Danio rerio: one gene and its partners. The protein of the gene in region 3 purifies or fractionates together with the protein of the main gene of each other region. This does not show direct contact. Links are inferred from orthologs where the notes say so. Each region holds a gene or a part of one and is shown on either strand. Other genes may lie near its edges.

Evidence for each region.
Region 1: the proteins of lgals3a (region 3) and slc12a2 purify together in Homo sapiens (affinity purification with mass spectrometry; 3 studies listed by BioGRID and IntAct, counting the BioPlex papers as one, with this or other methods). This does not show direct contact. The link is inferred for Danio rerio from reciprocal best matches to the Homo sapiens genes LGALS3 and SLC12A2.
Region 2: the proteins of lgals3a (region 3) and ece1 purify together in Homo sapiens (affinity purification with mass spectrometry; 3 studies listed by BioGRID and IntAct, counting the BioPlex papers as one, with this or other methods). This does not show direct contact. The link is inferred for Danio rerio from reciprocal best matches to the Homo sapiens genes LGALS3 and ECE1.
Region 4: the proteins of lgals3a (region 3) and slc15a4 purify together in Homo sapiens (affinity purification with mass spectrometry; 3 studies listed by BioGRID and IntAct, counting the BioPlex papers as one, with this or other methods). This does not show direct contact. The link is inferred for Danio rerio from reciprocal best matches to the Homo sapiens genes LGALS3 and SLC15A4.

The regions. Positions count from the first base shown.
Region 1 is NC_133185.1:18,569,165-18,574,111, reverse strand, and holds part of slc12a2 (solute carrier family 12 member 2), read right to left. Parts: intron 4,185-4,947; coding exon 4,044-4,184; intron 3,443-4,043; coding exon 3,336-3,442; intron 1,377-3,335; coding exon 1,303-1,376; coding exon of another isoform or gene 1,297-1,302; intron 943-1,296; coding exon 820-942; intron 1-819. UniProt on the Homo sapiens protein: Cation-chloride cotransporter which mediates the electroneutral transport of chloride, potassium and/or sodium ions across the membrane. Plays a vital role in the regulation of ionic balance and cell volume.
Region 2 is NC_133186.1:30,031,090-30,035,202, reverse strand, and holds part of ece1 (endothelin-converting enzyme 1), read left to right. Parts: intron 1-8; coding exon 9-76; intron 77-1,718; coding exon 1,719-1,909; intron 1,910-2,373; coding exon 2,374-2,469; intron 2,470-4,113. UniProt on the Homo sapiens protein: Converts big endothelin-1 to endothelin-1.
Region 3 is NC_133188.1:40,045,125-40,050,672, reverse strand, and holds the start of lgals3a (galectin-3), read left to right. Parts: upstream 1-2,243; 5' UTR 2,244-2,420; intron 2,421-2,713; 5' UTR 2,714-2,716; coding exon 2,717-2,731; intron 2,732-5,020; coding exon 5,021-5,548. UniProt on the Homo sapiens protein: Galactose-specific lectin which binds IgE. May mediate with the alpha-3, beta-1 integrin the stimulation by CSPG4 of endothelial cells migration.
Region 4 is NC_133183.1:42,789,622-42,794,482, forward strand, and holds the end of slc15a4 (solute carrier family 15 member 4), read right to left. Parts: intron 2,528-4,861; coding exon 2,376-2,527; 3' UTR 1,341-2,375; downstream 1-1,340. UniProt on the Homo sapiens protein: Proton-coupled amino-acid transporter that mediates the transmembrane transport of L-histidine and some di- and tripeptides from inside the lysosome to the cytosol, and plays a key role in innate immune response.

The sequences.
Region 1 (4,947 bases), on a different chromosome or scaffold from region 3:
TTTTTAGAGGAGACAAGCAGACATCACTGTGTATCACTGTGTTTGCCCTGGCTCAGTCCCGCGCGTGTCACCAAGTTAGGAAACACACACAAACACAAAGGAAAGTTATGAAAATTATAGTTTGTTGTACAGTTGGCGGTTCACTTGCGTGATTTGGTGTGATTGCATTCACATCAGAAGTGAACCGTACCAGAGTTCGCATGAACCGTACCCCAGACCACCTCTTTTAGGCGGTCTCGGGTACGGTTCACGGGTGCACACTCGAGTTCAGAAGACTTGTTTACACTAGCTAAACGTACCGTACACTGACATCAAACGAACCCGGGTGCGGACCAAAAGTGTTAGTGTGAAAGCACCCTAAATCGCAATTTAGTCTAAAGTATGCCCAAAGCCAAGCATAGAATTAGTCACTGACTCTTCTAAATGCCATTTACTCACATTATATTTACTTTACCATGTATTGTTCACTTATGAAGTGGTAATCTTAATCCATTTGGTCTTCTCCCACTTAATCAAAGGGCACAGATAAAAAAAGACAGCAATATCATGCTTATAGGCACATTGATAAATATATATTTAGACCATTTTAAGTATTACCTATTTAGTAAATCAGATTTTTATAAAAGCAAAACATTTAAATCTTTAAGCTGTTTCAAGCACTCTACTCCAAAAACGAAGCATTTTCCAAATCTTAAAAACATTACACAAAAAATAAATAAATAAACCAAGCATTTTGAAAGATTTCAAGCACCCGTACAAAGCCTGACAAGACCTTCTTTAGAACTTAACAAGAGCAAAATAAGATGTAAAAGTGCTAACCTTTCTGGACCGCTGGGCTGTTCTGAACACTGGTGGCCTTGGAGGAGGGTTTGGATGAGTCTCCATCCGAGTCTTTGCTTATGTCCACTGAAACCACCACATCCTTCATACCTGAAGAATCATCTTTAGAGACAATGGAAAGTTAAGCATTACTTTGAGGTCAAGGCAAATTTAGATCTATCATGAAAAGCAAGTCTTAATGAACTAATTACATGGACGATTAGATCTGCCTAAACATTGAAGAAATCACGCATGTCCAGCTATGAGCATCATGTTTTCCCTCTAAAAAGGCTTAAGAGTTCACATACTTTGCTCTAAATTCTCTCTCACACAAACGGAGTAAAATTTCGACCTGCTGAGACAAAGATTTTCACCTGAAGCTAGGCTGCAGGGCTGCACTAAGCAGAAGCATTTGTTAAACTCTTTATTTTTTACAAGTTACGTGCTCATGCTGAAGTTAAATGTACAGGACTATACCTTGACCTTGAATGTGAGAAATATCAAGTCCCTCTCGCAGTCTGAGAATGACAACACCATACTGAAAATCAAACGCATCACTACAAACAAACAAACAAACAAACAAACAAAACATTAGTTGCAATTTACACAAACATGTAAAAGGTGTATATTAGCATAAAGCTATATAACTTTGTAAAAATAATTTATGTGGTTAATATTAGTTTCTAAATTGTTGTATTTTCTACAATTGAGAATAAACATCAGTATATATTTTTCTGTTAAAAGCAATGCTATTAAAAACACTAGATTAGAACAAATTATTCATGGCTTAAATGTTTTTTTTTAAATGTCTAGAAACAAACAAACAAACAAACAAACAAACAAACAAACAAACAAACAAACAAAAAAAAAAAAAAAAAAAAAAAAAAAAAAAAACTTACTGTTGCAACAGCTTATCTTTTAGATCAGTGGTGCTCAACCCTGCTCCTGGAGATCGACCTTCCAGCAAAGTTCAGCTCAAACCCTGATCAAACACACCTGAACAGCACTTGATAATTACAGGCAGGTGTGTTTAATATGGGTTGCAACTGAAATCTGCAGGTAGGTCGACAGGAACAGGGTTGGTCACGCCTGATTTAGATGAAGGAACAATTATCTACCATTAAGAAAGTGTACATTTTTGTACCATAACTATTTAATGGCGCTACAGCCCTAGCAACACTACTCACTACTTTTTTTTGAAAGCATATAGCATATTGTTTTGTCCAAATTTCACCTTGAATCTCATGTTTCATATATAAATACCAGATTTCAGGCAAATAAACTACAATCACCAGCCACTTTATTAGGTACATCTGTCCAACTGCAAATTTCTAATCAGCCAATCACATGTCAGAAACTCAATGCATTTAGGCATGTAGACATGGTCAAGACGATCTGCTGCAGTTCAAACTGAGCATCAGAATGGGGAACTTTAAACAGTTGTTGGTGCAAGATGGGCTGATCTGAGTATTTCAGAAACTGCAGATCTACTGGAATTAACGGACAACCATCTCTAGGGTTTACAGAGAATAGTCCAAAAGGGAAAACATCCAGTGAGCAGCAGTTCTGTGGGTGCAAATGCCTTGTTGATGCCAGAGGTCAGAGGAGAATGGCCAGACTGGTTCAAACTGTTTGAAAGGCAACAGCAACTTAAATAAGCAATCGTTACAACCGAAGTATAAAGAAGAGCATCTCTGAATGCACAAAACATCAAACCTTGAGGCGGATGGGCTACAGCAGCAGAGGACCACACCGGGTGCCACTCCTGTCAGCTAAGAACAGGAAACTGAGTCTAAAATTTGCACAGGTTCACCAAAATTGGACAACAGAAGATTGGAGAAACGTTGACTTGTTTGATGAGTCTCGATTACTGCTGCAACATTCGGATGGTAGGGTCAGAATTTGGCAATAACATGAAAGCATGGATCTATCCTGGCTTGTATCAACGGTTCTGGCTGGCTGGCGGTGTAATGGTGTGGGGAATTTTTTTTGGCACACTTTGGGCCCCTTAGTACCAATTGAGCATTGTGTCAACACCACAGCCTACCTGAGTATCGTTGCTGACTAAGTTCATCCCTTTATGACCACAGTGTACACATCTTCTGATGGCACCTTACAGCAGGATAACGCACCATGTCATACACCGCGAATCATCGCAGATGGGTTTCTTGAACATGACAATGAGTTCACTGTACTTAAATGGCCTCCACAGTCACCAGACCTCAATCCAATAAAGCACCTTTTGGGATGTGGTGAAACCACAACTGCGTGACGATATCATATCAATATGGACCAAAATCTCTGAGGAATATTTCTAGTACCTTTTTTATTCTACGCCATGAAGGATTAATGCAGTACTGAAGGCAAAAGGTAATCCAACCCGGTACTAGTAAGGTACCTAATAATGTAGGCGGTGACTGTATATACCCAACAGCACAACAAAACATAATGGCACACTAATATAGGATTATATGCATTGATAGTGGATTGATTTCAAACTAAAAAATTAAACCTACTGTATTAGGTTTATGTAGGTCTCAACCTCCTTTATGTCTCCAGTGCGCCAGTCATTTTTGAAACCAATAACCAGAGTATTGGGCCTCAATCTACCCAGTCCAGCAGCCTGTAAAAACACAAACACACACACTCGTAATTAAATACAAACTTCTTTCATTAACCAGACTTTCCAAGGGTGTTAAGTTTTTTTTTACTGAACTCAACCCATACTCTAATAGAAAATATTGTATATTTTCATAAAACATTTCATGATTATCTAATCCTTTTGTATTACAGCGATATTTAGCATGACCAATAGTGTAGAGTGGAATTGTGGGGCCAGTTTTGTCCACATCAATGTAGGTCAAATCAACATGCACATACCAGAATTAAATGTTTCAAAATAGGCTGAAACAGAATTCAGCTGTGAGCAGATTATGGGTCACGTGCACACCTCACACTAAGCAGCAAGTAAAGAATCAAAAAGAAAGAAAAGCCCAGTGTTAGGCTAAATGGTGCAAAGGAGCCTTTGAAATTCCAGTGACTTTGCAAAAATTGACATGAAGAATATGTGAGCCAATTTTAGAGAGAATTAAACAAAACCTTCAGTAAGAGCAAACACATTTCTAAATTAACCAGTGAAAAAGATCTGGGCATTACAGCTTTTATGAACTGGACAATTGAAAAAGTGAATGAATTAAAAACAGATCACACACACATACACACACCTGCAGCATGTACTGGGTTCCTTGACGGAGGTCTTCAGCAACGACACATGTGTAAAAGGCCTTGGAGTTGTTGTTAAGGAGCCACCTCTGGTAACGCAACATATCGCTGTTTAGCTCTTTGAAGTTGGGCCGTCGAGAACTCTAAATGAGTGCAGAAACAAAAGAAAAATGAATAAATGAGTTTATGCCATAGGAACATGAGTGGATAATAAGCTCATGGTTAGTTTACGGAAATGTTTTAAGTGCCAGGGGAGACTTCTACTGATAATTCTGATTATCACGCTCCACACAGACCCCCAAATAAGAGACTGCTTTATTACACACAGCTATAATAACTGTCTCCACAGAGTGAAAGCAAGTTTTATTATTCCAAGAACATGTTCCAATAGGAACGAGAGCTGCCATAAACAATCCATTCAAGCATGGATTGCACAACATTTTACTTGCTCCAAAAACACACATACAACATGTTCTCTGTGTATTAACAAGTTTAAAATGTTACAGTAGGAAAGCCGGACGAAGGGATTTTTTTTGTAGAAGTTTGCACTATTGATTTGTCGAACAGATAAGCAATGAAATCACCCAGTGTGTGACATATTACCATTTATAAGCTCCATTCAAAGGAAAATACCATGCTGAATGAGCTAGAGCATGCATTTCACTGCTCATTTACAAGACAACTAAAACCACTAATCCAGAGAGAAGTTATATTTCATTAGCGCTCGCTAACAAAAACCACAAATCAAACTTTAAAGCCAAGTGAAACAGTCCCGTCATTCCCCAAAACAAAGGCATGTCAAACAACTGAAACACATGACCAACAACACTTTAACTAGGAAATTAGGGCTGTAGATGGTCCTTGTGGTTACTGTGGTGTTCAAGATGTGGAAAATGTGACTATTAC
Region 2 (4,113 bases), on a different chromosome or scaffold from region 3:
TTTTTTAGAGCCATGAATTTCGGTGGGATAGGTGTGGTTATGGGGCACGAACTCACCCATGCTTTTGATGATCAAGGTCATTTATTATTCCTTATTTCAGATCTGCTGTGTGAGACTCAGTCAGTTGTTGTGATAGAAGAAATATAGTCTTGCTCTCTTTCATTATCATACATATAGGTGCTAATTTTATTTAAACAATACTGCATATTTAAAGTTTAAGCAACAACATTCTTACCTAGAGAATCGTCTAATGCCTCTGCTGTGACTTTTGTGGTGAGAAATGCAGCAAACAGAGTTATACAAAGGAGGTTTCTCTGAAATACAGCTTATGGTTAAACATAATTTTAGTTTTTTCTCTAAACTACCATACCTTAAGTTTAAAATGAAATGTTCTCATTTCATATGTGGTAGAATAACTCTGATTTTTACCCTAATTACCCTAACCTGCCTAGTTAACCTAATTAACCTAATTAAGGCTTTAAATGTCACTTTAAGCTGTATAGAAGTGTCTTGAAAAATATCTAGTCAAATATTATTTACTGTCATCATGGATGGCCAGGATAAAAAAACAGTTATTAGAGATGAGTTATTAAAACTATTATGTTTAGAAATGTGTTGAAAAAAATCTGCTCTCTTATTAAACAGAAATTGGGGGAAATAAACAGGGGAGCAATTAATTCAGGGGGGCTAATAATTCTGACTTCAACTGTGTGGTGTGTGTGTGTGTATATGTGTATATGTATGCCATTATTTGCTAACTTGTCCCAACCTTTAATATTTCATCTAATTTCAGATTTGCAGTGTGTAAGACTTAATCAGTTGCTGTAATATAAGAAAGAAAGTGTTCCACTATTTTATTATCATATATATATAGAAAGAAATGGAAGAAAAGTTATCCAATTTTTGGGAAACTGGTTTGGGAATTTTTATGTGAACCTTTTTTTTTATATATCTTTATCAAAATGTTAATAAATACTAAAGAATAGTTCACAAATTTATTTTAAAAAAAAATAATATCATTTACTCACTTGTTCCAAACCTGTTTAATTTTTTTTCTGTTGAACATAGAAGATATTTTGAAGAAAGGTAGAAACCTGTAGCCATTGACTTCCATAGTATTTTATTTTTAACAAGTCAATTGTTACCGGTTTTCAGATTTCTGCAAAATGTCTTATTAGGGTTCGAAAGACAAAAAAAAACAAACCTATAAGGATTTAAAACCACATGAGGATGAGTAAATAGCAAATACATTTTCATTTTCATGTGAATTATCCATTTAGCCAATCTTTGGGTTTGGTGGCAACATTTTTAGCTTAGTTTAGCTTAGCATAGATAATTAAATCACATTAGACTATTAGCATCTCACTTAAAGATGACCAAATAATTTCGATTAACATTGCTTTTTAAAGTTTGACTATTCTGTAGTAAGCTTTAAATATGACAATTTTTTAATATCTGGTATTTTTGAGGTAGATGCTAATGGTCTAATCCAATTCAATGATTTATGCTAAGCTAAGCTAAAAGTGATCCTGCTAGAACCAGAGATCGGCTAAATGAAATTAAAAAAGGTAGAACTCAACTGTTTGGCTCTGGAATAGCTGTGAATAGTTTTTCTTTGAAATGTTTATCCTTTTAAATCATCTTACTATTATAACAGAAATTTGTTGATGTTGAAATGTGAATATGTGTGTTATTTTAAAAAAACTAATATTTTACAGGACGCAAATATGACAAGGATGGAAATCTTGCAAAATGGTGGCAAAATTCGTCAGTGGAAGCTTTTCAACACCAGACCCAGTGCATGGTGGAGCAATACAGCAACTACAGTATTAACAATGAACCCCTGAATGGAAAACACACTTTGGGAGAAAACATCGCTGACAACGGAGGCCTGAATGCGGCTTACAAGGTTTGTTGTGGAACAAAAATCTACTTTTAATCTATCTAATTCAATCGACAGATCTGTTGTGTCCATCATACAGACGCCAGTGGTTACTTTCCATAACACGAAAACAGCTTCTGCGTATGGCGTGTGAGAATCCGAGACCAAAGGCATTACGTTCTCTATATTTCCCTCATTGACGGCTTTGATAGTATTTGGGGGGCTGTAGTGATCCCGACTCGCTGAAAAGCCTTTGCGGGGCAACAGGTGGCTCCAAATGGGCCGCTGTTCCTCCAGCAGCTCGGATTCTTTCCGTCGGCTGAAAAGTCATAGGTTACGGAGCAGATGCACAAAGCATATGGCCCGGAGAAGAGCCTGCGTTGACCTCTCTGATGGAGAGGAAAATAAGCGTGGACACGAGGGCTCTGTTTATCTGGCATCTCAGCATGCAGAGTTATTGGTGGACTAATGTTATCACGCTTGCTTTGCAGGCTTATGTAAACTGGATCAAGAAGAACGGCGAGGAGGCCAGTCTGCCTGCCCTTGGGATGAACAACCATCAACTGTTTTTTGTGGGATTTGCTCAGGTTTGTGTGTTTTTTTTTTTTTTTTTAGAAATGTTTGATTGTTGGCCTGATAATTTGAGTTGTTTTATGTGCATGATAAAAAGGTTTTGGGTTCATTCTTTCATTCATTTTCTTTTCGGCTTAGTCCCTTTATTAATCTGGGGTCGCCACAGCGGAATGAACCGCCAACTTATCAAGTATATGTTTTACGCAGCGGATGCCCTTCCAGCTGCAACCCAACTCTAAGAAACAGCCATACAAGCTCATTCACACTCATACACTACGGACAATTTAGCCTACCCAATTCACCTGTACCGCATGTCTTTGGATTGTGGGGGAAACTGGAGCACCCGGAGGAAACCCACGCGAACGCGTTGAGAACGTGCAAACTCCACACAGAAACGCCAACTGACCCAGTTGAGGCTTGAACCAGTAACCTTTTTGCTGTGAGGCGACAGTGCTACCTACTGCGCCACCATGTCGGGGTTGTGGGTTGTGAATCATTAATTAGTAAGGCTAGGATTTATATTGAGTTCCATACTTTGTTTTATTGTCTGATAATTGAAGTAAGGTGTGCTTAGCCTGTGCTGTTAGAAACGGGTTAAACTTTACAATCAAAAAAAGGCACAAAACAACAGCAAAATATGACAGTTGTGTCTAATAAAACCTATAGAATCTATTCAGAAAACCCCAAGCAACAGAATAATTATAAATAACAATGCCTTTTGTTAAGAAAAAATTATATAAATGAATAAAATATTTACATAAAACATAACGATGGTCTTAAAACCAAAAAACTAAATTAAATTTAGTTAAATCTGGGCCAAACAAAACCTGTTTTGGGCTAAAATAAATATAAATATCGAAATTAAATAACTAAGCACAGAATTTTGATAAATTGTATCAAACAGCTATATCACTCTGCAGCCCAAGACTGGTTACTCACTGAAGCTAAACAGGGCTGAGCCTGGTCAGTACCTGGATGGGAGACAGCATGGGGAAACTAGGCTGCTTTTGGAAGTGGTGCTAGTGAGGCCAGCAAGGAGCACTCAATCTGCGGTCTGTGAGTCCTAATGCCCCATTATATTGAAGGGGACACTGTACTGTCATTGAGCGCTGTCCTTCGAATGAGTTAAATCAGAGTCCTGTCTCCCTGTGTTATTAAAAATCCCATGCCACTTCTCATAAAGAGTAGGGGTGTAACCTCAATGTCCTGGCCAAATTCCCTTCACTGGTTCTTACCCATCATGGCCTCCCAATCATCCCCATCCACCAAATTGGCTCTATCACAGTTTCTCCACTCCACCAATAGCTGGTGTGTGGTGAGCGCACTGGCGCCATTGTCCTGTGGCTGCTTTTACATCATCCAAGTGGACGCTGCACAATGGTGGTAATGTGGATACATTTCAAAAAGAACAAGAAAATCACACTAAGGCTAATTTTGACCAACTATGTATATATAATGTTTTTATTAAATAAATAACATTTACAGTTGAAGTCAGAATTATTAGCTAGAATTAACAACTTGCCTAATTACCCTAACCTGCCTAGCTAACCTAATTAACCTTGTTAAGCCTTTAAATGTCACTTTAAGCTGTATAGAAGTGTCTTGAAAAATATCAATATCTAGTCAAATATTATTTACTGTCATCATGGCAAAGATAA
Region 3 (5,548 bases):
CCAGTGGTGCTCCAGGGACAGACGAGTCTTCGCTGAGGCCAGCTTCCAGCCTCCACCACTGAGACTGCAGCTCTGCACAAGACTTTTGGCCAGTGGAGAAATTAAAATGGTCGTGCCAAACTGAGTCTGGTTCTCTCAAGGTTTTTTTTCTTCACTCTCCTATTGGTGAAGTTTTTTTCCCTCTTCGCTGTCGCCACTGACTTGAATGGTTCAGGATCTGTAGAGCTATACGCATCGATGATTTTGCTCTTCAGAGTTTGGACTACTAAGTATTGATTTCAAATCACACTGAACTGAGCTAAACTGAACTGAACTTAAACACTAAAAACTGAACTACCCTGATCCAGTTACTATGACCATTTATGTGAAGCTGCTTTGACACAATCTACATTTGTAAAAGTGCTATACAAATAAAGCTGAATTGAATTGAATTGAATTAAACTATATGAGTTCTGTGAACTTACTCTATTTAGGTAAAAGTATTAAAGTACTTAATTAACTCATTACCTTCAACACTGAGTTCACTCTTTTCAAATGAGTAGAATTAACTTTCAGTCAATTTTGAGTTAAGTACACTCTTCATTTGATAAAGTTGACTGTTAGGTTTTACCGTGTATTAAATCTCATTTTTATTTAAATTAAAGTATTATTAAAGTATTTATTAAGGATTAGTATGTATATATATCATATAATGCCCTAAGCTAATACATTCAATGTATTCAAATATTGTTTCTTAAAAGTCATTTATAAATGTCACATTTACAATGAAACAGTTTTTAACACACACATATATATATATATATATATATATATATATATATATATATATATATATATATATATATATATATATATATATATACACATTTTTTTTTAATTAATTAAAATTTTTTTTTTTTTTTTTTTTTTTGCTAAATAATCAAACCATTTTTTTTACCAAACTTTGAATTGTATTTGGGTATATCTCACACATCAATAAGAGGCTTGCAAAAAAAATAAAAATAAATTCATGTTTATCAGAGGGGTCCTGGAGGGCTAGTGTCCTAGAGGGTTGAGCTCCAACCCTAATCAAACACACCTGAACCAGTTAATCAAGCTCTTACTAGATACTAGAAACTTAATGGGTAGTTGTGTTTAAGCAAGTTGAAGCTAAACTCAGCAGGACACCGATCCTCCAGGACCGAGTTTGGACACCCCTGATGTATATATATATGATGACATGGTGGCTCAGTGGTTAGCACTGTCACCTCACAGCAAGAAGGTTGCTGGTTTGAGTCCCGGCTGGGCCAGTTGACATTTCTATGTGGAGTTTGCATGTTCTCCCCATGTTTGCATGGGATTATTCTGGGTGCTCCAGTTTTCCCCACAGTACAAAGGCATGTGCTAGGTGAATTGAATAAACTTAGTTTATGAGTTTGTGAATGCCAGAGTGTACGGGTGTTTCTCACTGCTGTGCTTCAGCTGGAAGGGCATTTGCTTATATATTTATTTTAATAATTTAATATTCTTATTTTTACTTTAAAGTATTTATTGAGGATTATTATTTATATATTTATTATAACTATAATTGTTTATGTGCTTTTTCAATAAATTTCCATATACCCCTATCACCCTAGTACCTGCAGGGTTGAGAAAATCCTGCGCCAAATGAATACATTTAATGTATTCAAATATTGCTTGTCACATTAAATGTGAAATCGTTTTTGACGTTTTAATTCAAAATCAAAGTAACGTAAAATAAGATTTTAGTGAAATATATATACAAATATATAGCACATTTTAGAAAATGCAACCATTGGTTATTTAAGTGTTCTTAAAGGCTTAATAAATTAATTGAAGTAAATATAAAACAAAATAATTTAATAGATGAAATTAAACAATGTTTGATCCCAAACTTTAGTGTAATTAAACAAATGTTTTGAATTGTATTTGGGTATGCCCCACACATTAATAAGATTATTTTATATATGTATATTTGACACATGTTTGGCCTCCTAGTTTAATAGTAAACATTTTGTCAACCTTGATTTGTCGTTTTACTGGAATGGTTGTTTTATTTGAAGCGTCCCAGATCAGAAAACACCCCCTCCTCTAGCAAACTCCGCGCATGCGCAAATGAGCCAGCCCATCCCTCAGATGACACGCCCATCGGGGAACGTGCGCGTGCATAACGCTCATATCTGATCTATAAACACAGTAGATTGTTTCTTGCCTTTGACTACAGCGTGTGCCGTCTGATCCATATACTTTGTTGCTCACGATGTTGTTAAACACGCCGTTGAAAAGCCTCAATGTTCCAGTTATCACCTCACTTCCTGTATAGAGTTTAGTAATTCTGACTTTCGGATCTTTTCGGGCGACGGGACCTGGTACTTCTCAAAAGCCCGAATCCTCGGACCGCAGGCCCCGATCCAGGCGAGGTGCTGATTACCACAAAACTGCACACATTTCACTCAAAACGCGCATGTGTGTAGTCCTGCCGCACATTAGTGTATGTTTATTTGGAATGGAGCCTGATTTCAACCTAAATAAGAGATTTGTTTAAAGTATAGTGGCTAAAATAGTCGCCTTCGAGAATGTGTTGGCTCCTGTGACGCTACTCTCTATTAATAGCGTTTTCATTATTAGTTGGCTACACGTTCAAGATTTATGACAGAATGAGGTTTGTATGTTATTGCATGTCATTAATTGTCACCGTTTGTTTTTCTTTTAGGCCATGGCAGACTTTTCGGTAAGTTTCCTTTCTTTTTAACTGTTAATGAATAATCCTGTTGAACAATTCACTTTCAGCAGTTTGGAATGCATTTCCTCCTGTGTTAGTACAATAAGAAACTTTGTGTGTTTTTTTTTATCCGTGATTCCACTAGTATAAATGACTGTAGAGTGCGTTATACTTCCCCAAAGGTGAATGTAGACCATATTCTTTATTCAGCACATAGTGTTTTGTTATTAAGTGGGTTATAATATTGACTAAAATATAATAATATTGAAAAACTTTAATTCAGGCCAAACTGAAGGAGATAATATATACATTAGGAAGAAAATTATATATTAGGAAATACTGTGAAAATGTGCTTGTTCTGTTAAACATAAGTTGATAAATATAAAAAAGATAAATTCACAAAAGGGCTGTTCATCCTAATTCAAACTATAAAAAGATATTTGTATTTGATTTGTCATTTTGCACAAATGACAGATGCACACCTGCTGTAGAATCCAGTTATAATCGAGGCCTGATGTTTGTGCTTGTCCAGTATGATTTGAGAATGATTCAAAAATCATGTTTGTGCTTCAGTGGAAACACATTTCTAACTTTCCTTGTCTCAAAGTTTGTGTTTCCAGAACAATTCAATTCAGAACATGTTTATTTTTGTTTTTCAAAAATTCAATTTTCAGGTTTATTTTGTTTTCATTTTCCATATCTTAAAGAGCCCATATTATGGGTTTTTGAAAATTCCCCTCCATGTAGTGTGTAACACAGCTCTAAGTGAAGTGAAGTATCCAGCTAAGGCTTAAATCTGTAAGAATACAGTGTTTAAAACGGTTGATTCATCTATAAAAGAGTCGACTCATAATGCTTCAAACGAGTCGCCTTGATACCGATTCATTAGGTGTTTCGCCATGACGTACGAACCGAAAACCAAGTTATTCACGTGCACGCGCAAACCCGGGAGATTTCAAACCTGAGGCCCCGCCCTCTACGCAGAAACCCAGACACACACACCCACAAACACACGCACACAAACATGCCGGTCGATTGAAGTCACACTGCAGATGGACATTATCGATTCTCTACCCAGAGATGAAACCTCAGCATTATAACCAAGCAGTTGGAAACTTCTGGAAACTACAGGCTACAAAGAATACTTCATCTGCGTTTGTTAAAGTAAGGATCAGTAAAGAGTAACTTACTAATGGACGTCAGGATGAGTTTCTTCCTCCATTTCTCAAATGTAAGTACGTGCGATTAAAGTTGCCTCGTTGACTCTAGCTTGCAAATGTATTTAGTTGTGATTTGTTACTTGTAACCGCGTGTACTGTATCAGGTTAACTGGCTATATTCTCTTATCGCGTGCAAAGTCACGTTAAAAACGTGACGCGTGCTGTTTGTTTACGGAGCTCCGTGGTAGAGGTCTGCAAATTTCCGAATCAATCGCGGGAGCGGTCGGTAACAGGTTTAATTTGGGACGGGAGCGGGCTGTCTAGCAATATCGTGGATATTGCTATGCGAATGAGACAGAGCTTTGCCTGCCTGTGTGTCTGCTTGGCGCTTGTGTGTATGTGTTAGTGCGCGCGTATGAGAGAGAGAGAGAGCTCTGTCTGGCTGTCTCTGGACTGTTTAGCTGGGTGATTTTCGGTTATGTTCTCCCCCGCTCTTTAGCGGGATCGGGCGCGGCAGGCAGAAAACGGGGCGGTTCGGGCACCGGGACAAGAAATTCTAAATATAAGCGGGAGCGGTCGGGTTCAGGCTAAAACCTGGCGGGTGCGGGCGGAAGCGGGAGCGTTGTCGTCCAGAGGTGTTTGTGTGTGTGTGTGTGTGGCAGCTTAAATCCACGCCTACACTATGGAGCGCGTATGAACTGTGATTACTTTTATATTGCTGATTAGCTATTAGGCATTTCATTCTCTGACTGAAGGCAGTCGACCAATCGTGACAGACTGTCATCGGTCCAATCAGCGCAGATTAGCTTCGCGCTAAGGAGGGGTTTGGGAACAAATGAATCACTGGACGATTCATACAGGAGTCGCTGGGATAATTAGGTAAAAATAAAAGCAGATTATAAGACCATGAAAGTGTTTTTTGACTTTGCATGCATATTAGACTGTTGTTGGAGACCCTTACAACCAAGATATGACCCTATTTCATGTATAATATGGGCTCTTTAAATCTGTTCTCAGACTTTTGGACTCTACTGTTTGCCCTAGTTAGTCTTTGTCTTTTCAATGATAATAACAGAGCAGAAGTCTTTCTGATAAAATGCCTAGCTCATGTGTTATTTCTCCTATTATTCTCCTGTAGCTTGCAGACGCAATCCCAGATGATGTTCCTAGTGAAGCATCAAAAAATAAGCACACCAATCCATCAGCTCCTGGAAATGGAGCTCCCCCACCCACTAATCCTGGCTGGCCTGGTGCAGCCCCTGGCGGCCCTCATTTCCCACCTTCTGGAGGCCCTGTCCAACCTGCTGGCTTCCCCCAGACCTGGCCATCTGCCCCTGGATCCTTTCCTCCTGGCCCAGGAGCCCCAGGCCAGTTCCCTGGAGCCCCTGCTGCCCCAGGCCAGTTCCCTGGAGCCCCAGCTGCCCCAGGCGGATACCCACCAGGACCGGGCGTACCAGGACAGTTCCCTCCTAACCCTGGAGCTCCAGGACAGTTCCCCTCTATGCCAGGTCAGTTCCCACCAGGTGGGGCACCCATGCCATATCCTGTTCCTGGACAATTCCCCTCCCCACCTGGGGCTCCACAGGGTCCCAATCCAAACGTGCCTTACCCACCAGGTCCATCCGGACCTGGCATGTACGGCCCCGGAGGCCCTGGTGCCTTTCCA
Region 4 (4,861 bases), on a different chromosome or scaffold from region 3:
CGTCAGCGAAGAATAAGGTGAATATAACCTACACCTTCATTTATTCTTTAAAAAAAATGTAGGAGAAAATTATATTTTGAGAACTTTTTGAGGCCAGAGATATACATGTTGTATAAACAGATTAATGAAAGCCTGTAATGTATTTGCTACTTTTGTGTTATTAGTTAAGTAAATTCACTGTCCATTAAGATAAAGATTGCAATAAAGCCTAAGAGTACTAACATTAAATAATTTATATTAAGTAAAAAACAAACTTTAAAACTTTAAAATGTTTATTAACAAAATGAACAGTAAGACAATAAGAAAATTCCCTAAATCAAAATAAATCTATGAGCTTTATATATTAAATAAATTGCTTTACGTGGCCTTAAAGGTGTAAATCATTTCCCAAGAGAAAAAAATTAAATAAAATCTTACTATATTACAAAAACTTAGTTGCTTCTACAGTAACATTTAATAGTGGCTGCATCTCCTCAACAATAAAAGCGATAAATTTTTATTTAGTATAATTAATTGTTTTTCTTGGAGAACGTGAACTAATGTCAGTCATTTGTTAAGCTGGAGGTATGCGATGTCGTGTTTCTTGCAGTTGTCAAGAGTTTTACTTATAATCTACACTTGAACCACTTCTCTGCTTCGATGAAAAAAAAACAAGACTCTATTGCAAAAAAATGTAAGTCTCCTGTTTCTAAGTGTCTGGAGTGATTATAGCCAATTCGCGGATGAATCGTTTGTTTTTAACTGGATCTTCTAAGTGAACTGGTCGAATCAGTTCACCAAAGGGAAGTGAGTCGGCATGAAACGGTTGCGTCTTCAGTAGACAAAGTACTTACTTTTTTAACATGCCGGATACCCCTTCTGACTCTAACTAAATCAATATCCTGAGTTATTCAGTAACTAGAACAGTACACTGACTCATCTGCTTTGAAAAAAGAGATCCGATGATAATGATTGTGAGCCAACTGTTTGTTCCATCGCAGCACGCTCTCTCACTGAGTATGTAATTTAACCTAATGTAATTTTATTCCACAATATATATTTTTAAAAGCCAAGCAAGGTAAAATGTAATAAAAATAACATTGCTTATTTTTAAAAGTAATGCATTACTTCATTAGTTACTTAAAAAGTTATACTATTATGTAATATGTTACCCCCAACACTGCTCATCAGACACTATAAAAATGCTAAATGTTGTCCCAACACAAATCGATTAAGTTAACTTAATTGTTTATACAAATTTAAGCAGATTTAACGACATAAAACAATTCAGTTTTCCATGAAAACCTCTAGAATTGTGTTGTTTCAGTTCATTTTAAATAAGTAGTTAAGAACAAGCAGCAAAAATCTTTTATTTTATTCTTTTTTTTCTTTTTCTTTTTTTTTTAGGGTAAGCATTATAAAGAGTGATGCCATGCTTGGCCTTACAACTTATGATCAAAATCTTTAAAAACAAGCTAGTAGGAATCTAATGCCTGATAAAAACATCATCTAAAAAGTGAGAAAAGCTTGTAATGCCACAGGTTTAGTACCGAAAATACAAATGTAATCAAACTGTTAAGGACACAATTATTATAGATCTGACTATTTAAAAATATATCAAGTCTGTTGCACTGCATGTTTCTCAATTGCTTCACTTATGATTCTGTATGGGCTACTTGTGTGCATCTGAAAAAGAGTAGCCAATCAAAAGAGTTGTCTCTTTTTAGACATCAACAATATTTAAAAACAAGCCAATTAGTATCTATTAATAAATTAGAATTGATGAAGTAACAAAAGAACGCACCATACAGTGCAATAGTGCCAAAATTACCTTAGAAGTAAAATGAAAAATAGCACAAAAACAAGACATGCTCAAAAATACAATTTTAAATACATTTGAAGAGGAGTGGTCTAACCTTGCTGAGCATTAATCACTTAAAAAGTCTGAATAAATATTCAATTTAAATTGGTGATGTGGTATAACCCATAGTAAACAAATCTAAAACACTTTCGATTTGAGAGTGTCATTTGTGGACTGTGTAATATAATTATCCACTATATTCTGTGGTATAGTGGACAAAGGAAGTCAAAAAAATCTAAATTGAGAATAAATGTACCTATCAAGTCCATTAATGGAGTCAATAAACCTCATTTCCAGCCATTTCATACAGTACGAAATATTTTGTATCTTGTTTTCAGACAGATTTTCTTGCAAAAAAAAAAAAAAATCAATAGTAAGGCCAGGTCCAGCAAACGCATGGGACTTCAAGTTTTCGAGTCAAATATTTTAAAATCATACCTCATAATTAACAAAATGTTTGGCACGTGATTTGTGGGTTGAGGAATGAGTGAAGGTGAGAGTATGACTGTTTAAGGCTGGCGATGAGTTAAGGAGGTCATGAGTTACTCATAGACGCTCTATGGCTCGCTGGTTTTGGCTTCTGTTTGTCGTACTTCACAGACACGATGAGGAAGATGAGGAGTGTGATTCCCTGGATGGCGGCCAGGAGGAAGAAGTAATAATTCAGCCTGCACTCATTGATGTTACCTGCAGATAGAAGAAACAAGAGAGAAAAGGGGATCATTTGGATATCAAATTTCAGTAGCGGATGATTTTGACATGATTTACAGCACAGCAATCACAACACCACAACACTAGCTGAAACTAAATTCAAGCATATTGTTTTAGTGCTTCAGAAGGTCTCAATTGTTTTGACAGGAGAGTGTTGATCAATAATTGCAATTTATAACTAAGGGTGTATTCTAGTCTAGTTAGATTTGATTGAACTCAAGTTCCTTTTCCCCTTTGGTGTGGATCTTTTGGGTCAGTTGTGAATAGAGAATGGAAGTGTGTTCTGGAAATTTGAGCCACAGGAGCCTGCATTTCATTGAACCCCATGGGTTTATTGTATCATATATACACTTATTTGTATTGTTTCAGCATGGATATCGCAATGTGAAAATTCACAATAGTCACATCATATGATTTGTGTCACGATCACCAGCGATCTAACCATGGATCGCTGGAGAACATTTACTTGGACTACAATCCTGTCTCATATGAACTACAAGTCCTGTCATGCAACACACACACACACCTGCTCCAAGTCTCTATTGATTAGATTCACACAGTTGATGCTGCTCATGGACTGATCACACTACACTTACAGTTGAGGTCAGAATTATTAGCCGCCCTGAATTATTAGACCCCTTGTTTATTTTTTCCCCAATTTCTGTTTAACGGAGAGAATACTTTTGACACATTTCTGAACATAATAGTTTTGAAAACTCATTTTCTAATATTGGATTTTTTTATCTTTGCCATGATGACAGTGGATAATATTTTATTAAATATTTTTTAAAGATACTTCTATACAGTTTAAAGTGATATTTAAAGGTTTAACTAGGTTAATTAGGTTAACTAGGCGGGTTACGGTAATTAGTCAAGTTATTGTATAATGATGGTTTGTTCTGTTGACTATCAAAAGAAAATTAAGCTTAAAAGGGCTAATAATTTTGTCACTAAAATAGTGTTTAAAAAATAAAAACGACTTTTATTCTAGCCGAAATAAAATAAATAACACCTTTTCCAGAAGAAAAAAGTATTTTCAGACATACTATTAAAATTTCCTTGCTCTGTTCAACATCGTTTGGAAAATATTGTAAAAAGAAAAGAAAAAAAATCAAAGGGGGCTAATAATTCTGACTTCAACTGTATATATATATATATATATATATATATATATATATATATATATATATATATATATATATATATATATATATATATATATAGCTCACTTTGAGACTCTCATTGCTGAGTCTTGTTTAGCTGCAATGTGAACATTCTGACATGTTTTCTTTGCCTTGCCGTGTTTGATCCACGCTTTGTTTTGTTTGTTTATTCCTGTCTGCTTCCTGCCTTTTGACCATCTGTCTGTTTTATGACTATGACTCTGGATTTCTTGTATACATCTGTCTGTCTGAGTGTTGACCCTTGCTTGCCTGAGAAATAAACCTGCATTTGGATCTGCACTTTCCTTGTCAGTGTCCTACTCACATTACAGTTTGCAAATGTTGATCCAGTATTATAATTTATCAATCGCATGCGTTTTTGAGGCCTGTGATTATATGATGATTTTTAAAGCATTCAGACATAAATAATTGCACTGTTAGTAACTTTAATAACAATTAATTGTATCTAATTATTTTTAATTTTACTGTGATAGGGCTCTATTTTGACGGTCCATGCGCAGAGCACAAAACGCAGGGCGCAAATGCTTTCAGGGCGTGTCAGGACGCATTTTTGCTAATTTAAGAACGGGAAATCTGCCTTGTGTCGTGGCGCATAGTCTAAAAGGGTTGAGTTTATTTTCTTAATGAGTTATAGGTGTGTTTTGAGAATAAACTAATTAGAGTCTCATCTCCCATTCTCTTTAAGAGCCAGCTGCGTCACGCCATAAGCGCATTCGCTATTTACAGGACGTAAAGTAAGTCTAAGTGGAAAAAAATGAGCATTTCACAAGCAAACAGTAAACAGTTTTTAAACAGAAAACTGTTAAACAGAGCATCTACTGCGTGAGAATGAGAGATAATGGAACTACTTTCACTTTCGCTCTTGGATAGGGAAACCTTTACGCACAGACATCAATTAGTCTATAAATAAATACTTTTGTTTGTTAAGCGCAAATATTCATTTCCAAACTATTTCTAAATTCAGTTCTAATTTCCAGCAAACAAATAAATGAACAACATTAACAAAGTGTGTTCAAAAACCTGAGTTATATCCTAAAACACATGATGTGCTCCTTATCTAAATCTCCTTATATAAATCTAAGCTTGTTTTTAATAAAACAAATATAAATATGGATATAATAAATAA